2 linked regions of the Lytechinus pictus genome follow. The protein of the gene in region 1 binds, or shares a complex with, the protein of each later gene. Links are inferred from orthologs where the notes say so. Each region holds a gene or a part of one and is shown on either strand. Other genes may lie near its edges.

Region 1 (7,257 bases):
ATATGCACACTGATGTTTATTTAATGTAATAAAATGCATTATGAGATTCATAATTATATGATGAGCATATTTAAACAGTTATCAATAAAAAATTAAATCAACCAAATATTACGTTCGAACAGGAACTCCAAGATGAAGGTTTTCTATGTCTTCCTCGCTCTCGCGGTCGTCGTCGCCTCCGTTGTCGCCATGGAGGAGGAGGAGAACGAGCTCTTCGATCTGATGGACAAGCGATCGATGGAGGAAGGAGATCTCTTGGAAGAGATGGCCTATGGAAGCGAGCCAATGGTGAAGAGAGGACGATTCAAATGTGAGTAAAAAATAAAATAATAGGATACATAGTAAAAACTTTGTTTAATTTTTTTAATGCATTTTTGTTTACTATCAACCTTACAGTATATGTTGTTTAAACAGTTTTTTTTAACTGTTGTAGTTCTGTTCAATTACTGCAACATGCCGTTTTGATATTTTTTCAAATTTCATTTTTATAATTTAATTTACAATTCCTACACTCGTTTGATATATAATGCATTTTGTTTATAATTTCAGACTGCAAGAATTCCAACGGTGATAACTGTGTCTGTGATCGCAAGTACAGACGTAACAGTAGAAGACGTTATGTCAACTGCAGACCAGCCAACACAGGAACACCCGTTTAAAATTCAAACAACAGACAGGCACCTTTGTATTATGGATGGATAATTAATTCAGATGAGGTATGAAAAAAACATTGTACTAATTTAATTGCCTGAAAATAGGGGGAAATAAAGGCATTTCAGTCGTTGTAGTTGTTAACCATGCATCCAACTTAAAATCCAAACAATATAGACGAAGCATCTCAGTTCGGACTTATTTCTACAGAGATATATTCATGTTTAAAGGACAAGTCCACCCCAAAAAAAAGTTGATTTGAATAAAAAGAGAAAAATTCAACAAGTACAACAGTGAAAATTTCATCAAAATCGGATGTAAAATAAGAAAGTTATAACACTTTAAAGTTTCGCTTAATTTCACAAAACAGTTATATGCACAACTCAGTGACATGCAAATGAGAGAGTCGATGATGTCCATCACTCACTTTTATTTTGTTTTTTATTGTTTGAATTATACATTACTTCAATGTTTACCAATTTCACATAAAGGACCAACTTAACAGAACCATAAGATGTAGTAGCAATGGTAATACCACATGTTCAGGGAGGAATAAAACTTCATTTCGCAAGACAATGAGGAGAATATTAGAATAATTCATATTTCATATTTTTTTTCAGTTCAGTTCAGTTCATTTATTCATTTCTAAAAAATTCAACGAGTACAGATATATATACATAAAAATCAACTTTTTGCTGGGATGGACTTGTCCTTTAATGTGTAATGCCATTTTTTTTTGTCTGTGAATCAAAATGATGATTCACAATTTGTACACTGTTGTTTATTCTAAGTAACTGTTCTGCAATTGCAAGGGATGCATGCTATGCAATTTTGTTTATTACTTTTTCTGTAGAAATGATTAAAAGAATTCGAATTTAAATTCAAAATCATTCATTATATTTACCTTTATATAAGTATAATATTATATCTGATTTTGTGTTGCAATAAATATGGTCATGTTTACTTTTTTTAATAAATTATAGAGCATTCTATCCGGCGGTTTCATTATACTTGAGGTTGCATGGTTCCAAGTCCAGTCGAGTCACACAAAATGTTATGGAAAATAAAATTTTCTCCAAAATAAGATAACTAACCAATCCCGGACTTCCCTCCTATTTTAGCTAAATACTGATTTTGCACTCTGCAAATAAATTTATGATAACAAGATATTATTACTCTCTTAAGTATATACTGTTTCTAATCTTTTGCTGTACGTTGCACATGAATTGACGACGAGCTTGTTTTGTTCTTTGTTTACAGTCCACAACTCTCCTCAAGAAATCTATACTGGTCGTCAAACATCATCTCATTGTTCTCCAGGCAAGCCAGTGAGCAAATTTCGCAGAAAAGATGGAAAACAACATTTTTACTGTTGATGTACAATAAACACCCTGCTCAAGTCATCTCATGTGCACCTAGAGTGTCAATATTTCAGTATTTTGTGTAATATGATGAGTAAAGAGGATGAGGGGGAGATCGATAGATAGATAGAAAAAGAGGGAGAGAGGGGGAGGGAGAGGGAGAGAGAGAGAGAGGGGGGGGGGGGGCTCTCGAGAGAATATGTGCCGTGATAAAATTATCTTCGGAAAGAACTAAAGATGTCAAAACGGTGTTGAAAAATAATTACGCCAATAAGACATTACCTCCTCTTTCCAAATTTAATTGACCCTTAAATTATTAATTCCATGTGGAGCTTGTTCGGTTAGAGTGAGTATTTTCACTATTTGGGTGGAAATCTGTCATATTCATAATTTTGTTTAAAATAAGTTTCAAGATTTTAGCTAATATCTCAAGTTTCAAAAATTGTATTTTGATATGTAACTCATAATGCGAACGTATCGCGAGCTAATTTCTTTTTTATTGTTGCAAGCATAGTACAACACGGAGCTCACAATATTCATGATATTGGGCTAAAAAATCTAATTATGATCTGTAAATGGAATATTCCATTTGATGACATAATGATCGATGTGGGAATATTGTAGAAATTTATGAATACGACATGGATTTCACTAAAGTCTAAACAAATAATACGAGCAAGAAGATATTTAAACTAACCCCAGTAATTTGAGGGGGCATATAGGCCCTATGGGCCCTATGCTAAAGTAAGCCGGTAAGTCATATATATATAGAGCTTATATCCCTATAGTACAGTATCTCATCACTAAAATGATAGATATGCCAGCGCGAAGCCGCGGTTTCTATATCATGAACAGAACACATTTGTCACAAAGAAATCATTATGCATGCATGAGAACGCGAGCGTGCGAGGTGAAATTTTTATTAACTGCATGATCTGAAAATGGGATGTAAACAATGTTGAACATGAACTAAAAATGTGATGCGAGCACGTCGACTTTTCTCATAATAAACCCGACAGGGGAGCATTTTATTAATTATTAAGAGAGCAATGCTAGTTTGTTAAGAAAATCAAGCCAAAAAAGCAAAAAAACCCGTTTCATTCTAATATGAAAATGATTTTGGTCAGAAAAAATTGACTAGTAAAAAAGGTTTTCTCTCCAAAATGAAGGCTGCTTCGGCAGCTTCAGCACCCCCACTTCCCAGGGCAATGAGCCGTGGCCCTCCGATCAGAATTATCGAAGCCACATTGCTTTCTGCAAACATGTCTGATCAGGGGCCCGTTGCCAGCTAGGAGATTTAATATAACAATTAGAAAAATATCATTAAAAAATACACATGTTTTGAAAGTTATTCAAATCAATATGAATAATAATATTTTTTTTTACATTCCCCCTCTATTAAAAATTCATGACATCATAACAAAGGTATAAGTACATTTGAACTTAATATTTTCATAAATTTTACATTGTCATAGGTTATTTTTTTCATAAAAGAAATGTATATACTTAAATGAATAATAAACGGGCCCGGTTTATTAATTATACAGTGCGTCCCACAAAAAACGAAACCGAGATTTATTCAATGATTTATGGCCTACCATTGTAAAGCTTAGAATTTCCTCTTTCATCTGGAATTACTTAGATTATTTAGATTATTATGAAATTATGGAAATACTAGCATTGTTTCGAGAAAACATAACTTTTTTACTTCTGAATCATTTTTGTGAATAAGGTATCAAAAAAAAAGAGCAGATATTGAACTTTTTAGGCATGTGATTTTCTTTTTGAAATTCAGATACCCCCCGCCAAATGAGTTGTTGGTATCCTTTCTTCAAATTGTTTTTGCTCACTCATGCGTGAATGAGGAATAATGTAAATAATATCAGATGAAAGAGGAGATTCTAAGCTGCTATGCTTTACATTGATAGGTCATTTGTCTATTGCAGGGGCCGCAGAACCGGGGGGGGGCTTCACCCCCCCCCCACTTTTTTCCAAACCGTGTACAAAAATGTAAAAATGACCATATGATTGTGATTTTTAGCATGGTCAGCCCCCCCCCCCACTTTTGGCTCAGCCCCCCCCCCCCCCCCACTTTGAAAACCGTTCCGCGGCCCCTGTATTGTATTTATGATTAAGTTATGATAAATCATCGCTAAATCTCGGTTTCGTTTTTTGTGGGACGCACTGTATATAGGCACTATCAATAACCATTAATTAATGGTTCTGTCTCCAATAATGTTACAGCGCCCTCTCTTGTTTTCTAGGCAGACCAAATTGGTGAAAAAGAAAAGATGTCGCTTTTCAAGCGAAGTCCCTCCGACTCTTCTTCAAACTACGGAGGCATTCCTCCAAAAATGCCGACACCGATTCGTCAGAGATCTCCAATGCCAACGAAACAATTCCTGAGTCCACCTAGCGTTGATCCAGAACCGTTTTATCTGCTGAAAGACCCACCACTATCCAATGGTAAGTCGGAAAAAAAATAAACAGACCCACCCGTATAAAATGATGTTATGTTGTAGCCTAACTAGACAACTTGAAGTTGTATGGCAGTGTATCCTATTGCCGGACACCTTTATTTCAGTGCTTTAAAAATGACAACTAGAGGAAATACAATCAAGAAAAAATCACATTTGCTATTCCAAATATTATGAAAATTATGAATATGATAAAATTATTTTATATTTACCAACCATTTTCTTTGCATCGCAGTTGCCGCATACCCCTCCACGAAAAACAATTATTTTCGTGCGCGACAAATTACATCATGATTCCGGACGCGTGCCGGACGGGTAAAGATATCTTTGATTATAATGATGTAAGAACAAATTTGTGTGATTTTTTTCTTCTTATATCATATGAGTAAATTCTAAGTTTTTATTTGCTTTTTATATCGAATCTGAGCAGATGTTGGTAATAAATTCGTGTTTGATAACTTATTTTATTTTTTCTTGTTAGCTGCATGTTCCATGGCACTTTCCAATAATATATGCTCGCGTTCGTATCGTGACGCTCGTCAAGTTCTATCGATGCGCTGCCGATCGACGGCTCTACTCACGGTAAACCTCGCGCACGGGTACCTTGAGAACTAGCCGTCGACGGTCACCCACAATATACCACACCTCATCATTCGATCGAAGGAGTGGACGAGATTGAAATTCGGCAAATCAGGCCCATATTTCCGTTAGAAAATATGTCAATCGTTAATGTAAAACTATGTTATATGCACTTGTTCACTGCAACCATCCTGCCTGTGGAGAATCTACAGGTAGGACTATGGCATGCCAATGCTGTACACAGCACACACTTTAAAAAATGATTAAAATATCACTTTTGTGACCAAAATTACTAATTTCCATACAGTTGCAATTTATTTTTCATTAGTAACTTGGGAATAATTTTTGTATTCACTAGAGCGCTCAAAAACTTGAATTTTGGGCATATTTTTGTGTACGCCCTCTATTGATAGAAAATAATATGGCAAGAAAATTTTCATTTTTTAATCTCTATTTTTAATTAAGAAAAAATAATTTAAAGAATCAAATTTACTTAAGGGCCAAGTTGTATGACGAATAACTGTGATGGAAACTGTCAGTGTAAAAAAAATCAAGCATTTTTCCCAAAGAAAAAGAGAAAATAAGCCAAACATTGCCATCCTTATTTTGCCACACATGGAGATATAACTGAGAACAAGGTTATATCATAACCTTGTTCATTGAATGAGTGGTTATATGATATTTTAAGCATTTTCTGTCATTTTAGAGATAATAAGGTAAAAGTTGGATTTTTTTCGCCTTGTTTTTGCAATCTTGTTCCATGTATTGCTCTGTGAAATTGAATTGCGGAAGTCATACGGTATGAAATTGTTTTCGAACGCAGTAATATGCGCGTCCGGAATCATAATGTGTCCGGTAATACAATACGTGACTATATGATGGGGTGTCCAAACTTCGCGGACTTTTCAAAAATATTCTTCAGGCTTAATTTTGTTCACAAAATATTCACAATTTATACAAAACCAATTCAAGAAATAGTTGACGGCAGGATCATTAATTATAAAATCATTGATGAAAATGTGAAGTAGGTCAAGACAAGGGCAGGCCAAGCAAGGCCGGGTTTCGCCGGTATCGCGATTTCTCAAAATTCCATTCCCATCGACGAATGTGCGCTGTGCTGGAAAACCGCTGACGACAAAATGCCATAGAATCAGTCACTACCACATTTAACTCACATTTTTGATAATATCTGCTTGCAAAATGATGATATCGTGATGCTTGTTGAGAATATCAGATTTTTTCGGAACGGGCGCTAACGGTGACAAATTTGCCGATCTTTTGTCAATATTTTCATGAATACTGAACTCATCCTAAAAAAAATTACGCCACAGGGTAATTTTAAGTCGCTTTTCACGTTGATGATGTCAGATTTTAAGAATATTGTCTAGTTTTCTAGATAATGACCGTCCGCGAAGTATGGACACACGCAAAGTTTGGACTCACTGCCATACGTTGTCGTTGTAGACAGTATGAAGAAGAGGGGGGGTCACCCCACTCACACTAGTACGAGGTTAGTTACCTCAAGCGATGTTCCTGCAGGCTCCACTTCACTACCGCTACACTTACCCGAACATCGAGCCCGTGAACTCGCTCTGATATTCCGAGTGACCGTTTGCGTTTGACAAAGTCAAAGGTGGGATTTTATGGGGGGAAAATATAAAATTCATGCAACATCACGATCTTTAAAAACAATTAAAACTAATATTCTTACTTTACAAAAAGTTTCACTGCTTTTCCATGCTTCTATCAGTCTCAAAATTGGTGATCTAGAGCCAACATAGAGTTCCTCACACGTATTAATAATTCGCTGCCGATTTCAAGACATCGCATGCGCGTGCGTGAGGGTCTGAGCTCGGACCCTCGCTCATGCGCATGCCAGGAAGCCTATTGATTTGGAGGTCAAAAGGTCAAAGATCAAGGTCACAGTGACATGTTTTCATCTTACCCTTCTGAAGTCCTTGTAAACGCGATAACTTCAGTTGAACTTAACCTAGGCTCATATAATTTGGTGTGTATGATACTAGGATGGATCCCAGGAAGCCTATTGATGTTGAGGTCAAATGTCAAGATCACAGTGACATATTTTCATCCTCCCCTCCTGCAGTCCTTGTAAACGTGATAACTTCAGTTGAACTTAACCTAGGCTCATATAATTTGGTTTGTATATTAGCATGGATCCCAGGAAGCCT
Region 2 (7,533 bases), on another chromosome or scaffold:
ATTTTACATCCGATTTTGATGACATTTTCAGTGTTATACTTGTTAGATTTGTCTCTTTTTATTCAAATCAACTTTTTGTTGGGGTGGACTTGTCCTTTTAGGAAACCACAATGACCTCAGGATTCTGTAAATAGTCTACTACTGTACAAACTTTCTTAAAATTCACAATAATAATAATCTATGCAACATTTCTAGCACTTAATAATACAATGTTTCTAAGTTTGTTATACTATTACCCGAATTAGCACGGCTACTCGTATCAAGCGCTCAAGCATTCAAGGAATTTCTTTCTACTACCTACCCACGTACTATAGTCATGTATCGTATTACTGGACACTTTCATGATTCTGGACGTGCATATTAGTGCATATGAAAACAACTTTGTACCTAGGACTTCCGCAGTTCAATTTCACAGAATACATAGAACAAGATTGCAAAAACAAGGCGAATATATCCAGCTTTTACCTTACCGGTATTTAACTCTAAAATGAGAGAAAATGCTTAAAATATCATATGACATAGTTTTGCATTAACAATTGATAGATTTTCTGATGGTAATATGGGCCTGAATTGCCGAATTTCAATCACGTCCGCTCCTTCGATCGAATGTTGAGGTGTGGCATGTATACATTGTGGGTGATCGTCGACGGCTAGTTCTCAAGGTACCCGTGAGCGAGGTTTACCATGATAAGAGCCGTCGACAATCATCAGCGCATCAATAGAACTTGATGAGCGTCACGATAAGAACGAGCATAACATTGGAAAGTGCCATGGGGGCATGGAACATGCAGTTAAAAAGACAACAAAATAAAATTAGTTAGCAAACACGTATTGTTTACTAACATCTGCTGAGATTCAATATAAAAAAGCGAACAAATAAGAATTTACTAATGATATGATATATGAAGAAAAATTCACACCAATTCTTTCTTACATCATTATAATCAAGAATATCTTTACCCATCAGCGCGTTTCCGGAATATGATGTAATTTGTAACGCACAAAAATTGTTTTTCGTGGAGGGGTATGCGGTAAGTGCGATGCAAAGAAAACGGTTGGTAAATATAAAATAATTTTAACATATTCATAATTTCCATATTTGGAAAAGCAAGTGCAAATTTTTCCTGATTGTATTTCCTCTAGTTGTCATGTTTAAAGCACTGAAATAAAGGTGTCTGGCAATAGGATACACTGCTATACACCTGGTTGGAAAGATGCAAATGTACGTAACGCCTTGCCAAAGGACGAGAGTCCTGCCGTGGGATTCGAACCCCAGACCTTGTGGGTCCAAGTCCGGAGGCTTATTCACTGAGCCACAACACCACTATGATATTAGTCATTGATCGATTGATTCATTACCAAACTAGCACATGTAGAGGAAGAAAAAATGTCATACACTGTCTTTGAAAATTACACAAAATTTATTCTAAAGGGCATTTCTTTTTCTTTTTAAAGTGATGGAAAGAGGCAAAAACATTGTCATTGTTTTCTAAAAAAAAGCCAAGAAAAATGGTCAAGAAGATAGCACATTATTTTACTTGGTACAATAATTAATAAATTATTCTATTGAAGAGAAAATTCTAAATTGAAATGAATTATGGGCTTAGATTAAAGTCGTGCTTACATGGAGATAAAAGTGACAAAGCCAAAGGATTTATATTAAACAATGAACATGATGAATGAGTTGATTAAAAGTCAAGAGTCTTGAAGCCAGTTTGGAATAGAATTAAATCACCAGTTTTGACATCAAATTTTGAAACAATGAGGTCTAGATGTAATCAAAATATTATAGACTTCCATGACATTATCCTGGTTTAAGTCACCAGTCCATGATTCACTGCCATTTATTTCGTCAGCGCTGGCGACTTCATTCCACTCCCATTGTCTTTGTGCACAACGAGTGCACACACACCGACACACGAGGTCGAGAAGAGAGCCTGAAAATTTTCACGATAAAGCTTATTATTGGCCAATGAATAAGATAATTGCGGCATTATCCTGGTTTAAGTCACCAGTCCACTCCATTCACTGCCGTTCATTTCGTCAATGGCGGTGACTTCTTTTAAGTTTCATCTCCAATTGTCTTGACTTTGTCTTGAGTTTTACTTCGACCTTCGTAGAAATTGTACACAACCTGCGCACACATACGAGAATAGAGGCGACTTATTTCAGGATAAGGCCATAATTGCTCTGAAAAATTAAAGAAATCTTGATGTACGATAACTATCACTAAAATTTAATGAAGATGTCACAAGAAAACCATGCAGCAAGTAAAGCGACACTGACACAGTGACACTCACACATATTGCGAGGTTAGTACCTCGCACCATGAACCGCGTTTGGCAGTGGATTTCTGACTAGTGGGTCGCGAGTGCGAGGATCTCACTTCTGGTGTCCACAACACACGACTTCTATGGCTTCTATGACACATGCAGTGACAGTCTTAGACCAAAACTTTAAAGCTTCGGTCTCTGTTATGTTGGTTGTTCAGCTGAACTCCGTTGGCTTCACTCACCAAACAAAAAAAAGTTAAAAAACTCCTCGAAACAGACGGCTGCCAGCTGTCTATGACAGTCTCAGCTCTGTCAACGCCAACACTAACAGTCACACATCACGAAATTCAGTATATGGGCACATGTAAGTTAGTTTAGCGACACTGACCCAAAATATACGTCGTACGATCGACTAGGCCTACCTGTCCTTGCCGCTTGGGCATCTACAGGTGATAGGTCTAATCACAATTCTTTCATAAAGTGAAAATGATAGTTGAAAGCAATATCAGGCATGCCCAATATCAATGGCTCATTTGAACTATTAAGATTGCAACAACAAAAAACATACCACGTTACTCCCATTATGACAAAACAGCTTTTCTCCTTTTGTATTTTGGAAGCGCGCCGAAATATCTTATCAACGACAAATTTGCAATTGTTGGTCCGGTGCGCAAATCTTCGGATGATCGGCATATCTGCTGTCATGTCCCAGTCCACCAACTTTCCACAAATGCCTATATAGAAGCTCTCCATTGTGATTTTAATTGCATTTTCAAAGGAATCTATGCGTTGTAGAGAGTTTCCCCGTTATAAATGCGAAAACTATCTAATTCCTAAATGCAGCACCCCCTGGAATTCTAGTAAATGTGGAAAATTTGTGAATTCAACCTAAAGGACCTATTTTTAGTGACCCCCCCCCCCTTTTTTTTTCTTTTTCTTTTTCTTTTTTTTTTTGCTTGTCAAATTTCTTGGGACCATAACGAGACCTTATTTGGGTTATTTTTTAGGGTTTTGTAGTGAAACCTTTTTCTTTTTTTTGTGGTTCCCAGGCCCGTACTGCCCCTCCCTAAAAACACACACATGTACACACAAACTGAGAAGGGTAACCTGCTAATAAGACGCTAAGTACTGGTATTGCATACATAGATCATATACTTGGTACTTGGTAGGAATCCTCCAAAAGACGCCATAAAGGTGTTTAAACTGGAGGTGTGTCGTGTACGGTCACCAACTTAAGGTTCCGGTTTTCAAGGTTTTTTGGAGTGCTGGCTTAAAGGTTCCTAAGGATGGTTGGGATATAACTGAGGAGGGGAGATGGTTCCAGTCTTTGACAGTCCTCGGAAAAAAATTAGTTTGCATGTGTATCTGTTCTGACATGTTTGATGTAGAATTGTTGATCATGACCCCGTCTTGCTCGATTTTCCTTCAGAGAGATGTATTCCTTGCAGTTGACGTCCATTAAACCATGGATCATCTTGAATGAACTGGTGATTCGGGAACCCTGTCTTTCCTCTTGGAGGGGGATCCAACCCAAGGAGTCCTTCAGAGCAGTAACACTTGAGTCTTGCCCATAAGTGTTGGTGGTGAACCTAGCTGCTGCATTCTGGACCCTTTCGAGATTTGTTATGTTTGTAGTTGTGTAAGGATCCCAAACTGAAGACGCATATACAGTAGTTAAGATGAGGCTTAACCAGCATAGTGTACAACTTCTCCTTCGTCTTAGATGACTATTAATATACCGGTACATGTAGGCCTATTGTAAAGAGATTAAAGATTTACATGATACAAAATTACATGATCTAATGGCTTTGTAGTTTTGGAATCCCCCAAACTGCATAACTATAGGCCATCAAGTTCAAGTATCGTCCGTAATGGTGCATCACAATGATTTAAAAGAGGCATAAACATGTTTACCAGATACGTATCCACACAATCAATTACATTATATTTTCGTTCCTTTCTTCATAATAATTTTATTCTGATGAAACCCCGCCATTCGACCATTATAAGCTACAAGGTCCCCAACTTATTGTTCTGTAAATGTGCATGCGGTGATGTAATGATTATGAGTATGATTTAATTTTCATCATCTTATAATCGATATACAGGCCTAATTATAAGAATTATTTGATTAGAATAATTCCTTTGATGAGCGACTATCTCATCATTGATAGTCCTTCACGGTGAGGTTTTGCACCCACCAGCCCTACCCCGGCTCTACCCCTCCGGATCCTGGCGATATGTATTAACTGATGGATGGTATTTATCCATTACGTACCATATTTGCTAATTCTAGATAGAATGAATAATAATGAATGATGCTATATTATAATAAATGGACATTATAGACCAAGTGTGAATTAGACCAAATGAAAATTAGACCAAGTGACGATTAGCCCAACTGGTCATTAGACCAATTGGCGATTAGACCAAGTGGTCATTAGACCATTTGGCTATTAGATTAAGTGGGAATTAGACGAATTGGATATTAGACCAAGTGGAAATTAGACTAAATGGAAATTACACCAAGTGGAAATTAGACCAAACGGTCATTAGACCATGTGGCAATTAGACAAAATGATAATTAGACCAAGTGTAAATTAGCCGAAGTGGAAATTAGACCAAGTGGTGCTAGACCAACTGGAAATTAGACTAAATGGTTTTAGCCCAACTGCTCATTAGACGAATTGGATATTAGACCAAGTGGGAATTAGACGAATTGGATATTAGACCAAGTGGAAATTAGCCCAACTGGTTATTAGCCCAAATGGAAATTAGACGAATTGGATATTAGACCAAGTGGGAATTAGACGAACTGGTTGTAGACGAAATGAGTTTAGACTATGTGAAGTTGGACGAACTGATAAGTAGACCATGTATAGTATTAGATCATCCGACAATTCACTAATTCATGTATCAGTTAAACAATAATATGTTACCACCCATATCTAATTCTTCATTTAGCAAAACTCTTCACAAATATCCCACACGTCAATCAGATGAATTCCATTTACCACTACCCCGGACCATCCTTGCAAAATCAATTTTTACTTTTGAAGGCCCTAGACTCTGGGGAACTATTAATAATAACATCAAAGAATCACCAAGCCTAAATTCTTTCAAATATAAGTTCTAAAAAATTATCCAAGATAACCATTGAATTAACTCTTCATCACTCAAACTCTTGTATTTTTTTAATCAAACATGATTATCGTGTGACGTACACTTTTCCATCTCTTTCGTTTTCCTGTTGATGCTGGATTCTGGAGACCTTTAATATCTCTTTTTCTTATTTCCTTTTCTATTTTAATTTCCCCCTATTTCTTTTTAATTTAACTGGTTAATGCTCAAGTTGTTATTTTGATGATGCTATGTAACTAGAAAAATATTTATTAGGAGGCTGCACTCTACGAGCTCCGCTTTTTAGCAGCCTCCTCCATTTCCAACTTGATATGTAATGAAATTGAATATAATTTTTGTACTGGGATACTTGAAATATGTTTCGTTATTTGTATGTCAAAATGTACAAAATAAACTGTAATTGTTGAAAATGGAAATAAACGAAATGAAATGTTAACTTGCGAAAATGAAACAAATAAGGTGAAATTTAGTAAACCATATTCCCTTTGTGATAGATTTAAATGAAAGGAAACAAATATTATCTACTGCTTAATGTTTATACAGATGGCGCTATATCATCTTTGGATTAGACTTGGCTAGACTTAAATAATATGCATTTACACCCGCAAAAAACAAAAGCCATGGTATTTGGTCAAAAGAAAAAGTTGAGGGGTGCTCATTTGTCAGTGAAATTCAGAAACATACAATTAGAAAATGTAAAAAAGATTAAATACTTAGGTGTCATGCTCGATCCGGGCTTGACTTGGTGCGAACATATTACTAATATCGTTTGTAAAATATCTCGGGCAATATAGGTTGTGGAAGGCGGATTAAGCACTTACTGTCCTTTGATATTATGAAGAAGCTGTACTTTTCTATGGTTTTACCTTACATTGATTACTGTATTACATCTTGGGGAAGCAGTGCAAAAATACATTTAGATAAGATACAAAAACTTCAAAATAAATATGCCAGAATGCTTTTGAAAAAAGATTATAATACATCACAAATTTCTTTGTTGCAGTCACTGAAGTGGCAATCAGTAGATCAGCGTATAAAATATCAGTATTGTGTTCTTGTATATAAAATAATGAATGATTTAGTTCCAAATTATTTAAAACCTTTAGTATGTAAACGGCCCGTGAAATACAGGACACGGTATTCTTTACGATGCCCCCTTCAGCTTCCCAAAGCTAGAATTGAACATAAAAGAAAATCTTTCGCATATGTCGGACCCAAATTATTTAATGCACTTCCTTCAAATTTACAAGTTTGTACCTCCTTGTTAGTTTTTAAAAAAATTATGCAAAGCCTTTCATACGAATTGATAAAGAGCGAAATGATATTCCTTTGATTTACAATGCTATGTATGTTTAAATTGTCACTTCCCACTCTATATTTTGGTGTTAATTGTTTCTGATGTTAGATATTTTGTATTTTGTATTTTTGATGTTGTTTGTTGTTGTTGTTCATAGTTATCTTGACATGTATTTTAAACTGCAGGGCGCCTTTGTAAAGCAGTTTTAAGAACTGAACAGGCCTACCCTGCAGTATAAAATAAATAAAACAAAATAAATAAAATAAATAAATAAACAAATAAAATTTAACAAGTGTGCTAAAATCGATAGATCAGAAGTGATTAGATATGGATTAGCTATTCATTTTAGAGATGTTCATCTTATTTCAAACAAGTCATTATTTAGAAATAAGATTTTTATAACGTTATCAACGAGAGATAGCGCTATGCAACTTGAGTTCCTGCAGTCATTTGCAATATGAGAGGCGGTGATGATAATTATGGTATGATATTGAAGAAAAGAGGGAGAGGATTGTGATAGTGCACGTTATAATTTCATTATCAATATCACTATAATCATAGTAAACAATAATGATAACAATCCCAATAACGTAACAATTTTCACGAAGATTACCAAGAGTACAAATCGATGAAAAGTAGAAAGAAAACGAATTTCATCAACATGAACTTGACTGTGTAAAGTCTTTTATTTCATGAAATTTCAGGATCTTTGAAGTCTCACTCGATTTTTTATACATTGTTAAGTATGAAATAATAAAAAGCAAGGAAGATTAGAATGGCCCTTGTGCAAGGATGACACGCAAAATTGTGAAGCGTTCCATA

Evidence for each region. The genes of interacting proteins can lie anywhere in the genome.
Region 2: mediator of RNA polymerase II transcription subunit 19-like (region 1) and mediator of RNA polymerase II transcription subunit 20-like share a complex: the UniProt entries of both Drosophila melanogaster proteins name them as parts of the mediator complex. The link is inferred for Lytechinus pictus from reciprocal best matches to the Drosophila melanogaster genes MED19 and MED20.

The regions. Positions count from the first base shown.
Region 1 is NC_087246.1:20,716,624-20,723,880, forward strand, and holds the start of mediator of RNA polymerase II transcription subunit 19-like, read left to right. Parts: upstream 1-4,257; 5' UTR 4,258-4,303; coding exon 4,304-4,478; intron 4,479-7,257. UniProt on the Drosophila melanogaster protein: Component of the Mediator complex, a coactivator involved in the regulated transcription of nearly all RNA polymerase II-dependent genes.
Region 2 is NC_087247.1:67,256,387-67,263,919, forward strand, and holds the start of mediator of RNA polymerase II transcription subunit 20-like, read right to left. Parts: upstream 3,001-7,533; 5' UTR 2,979-3,000; coding exon 2,842-2,978; exon of another isoform or gene 2,432-2,841; coding exon of another isoform or gene 2,301-2,431; intron 1-2,300. UniProt on the Drosophila melanogaster protein: Component of the Mediator complex, a coactivator involved in the regulated transcription of nearly all RNA polymerase II-dependent genes.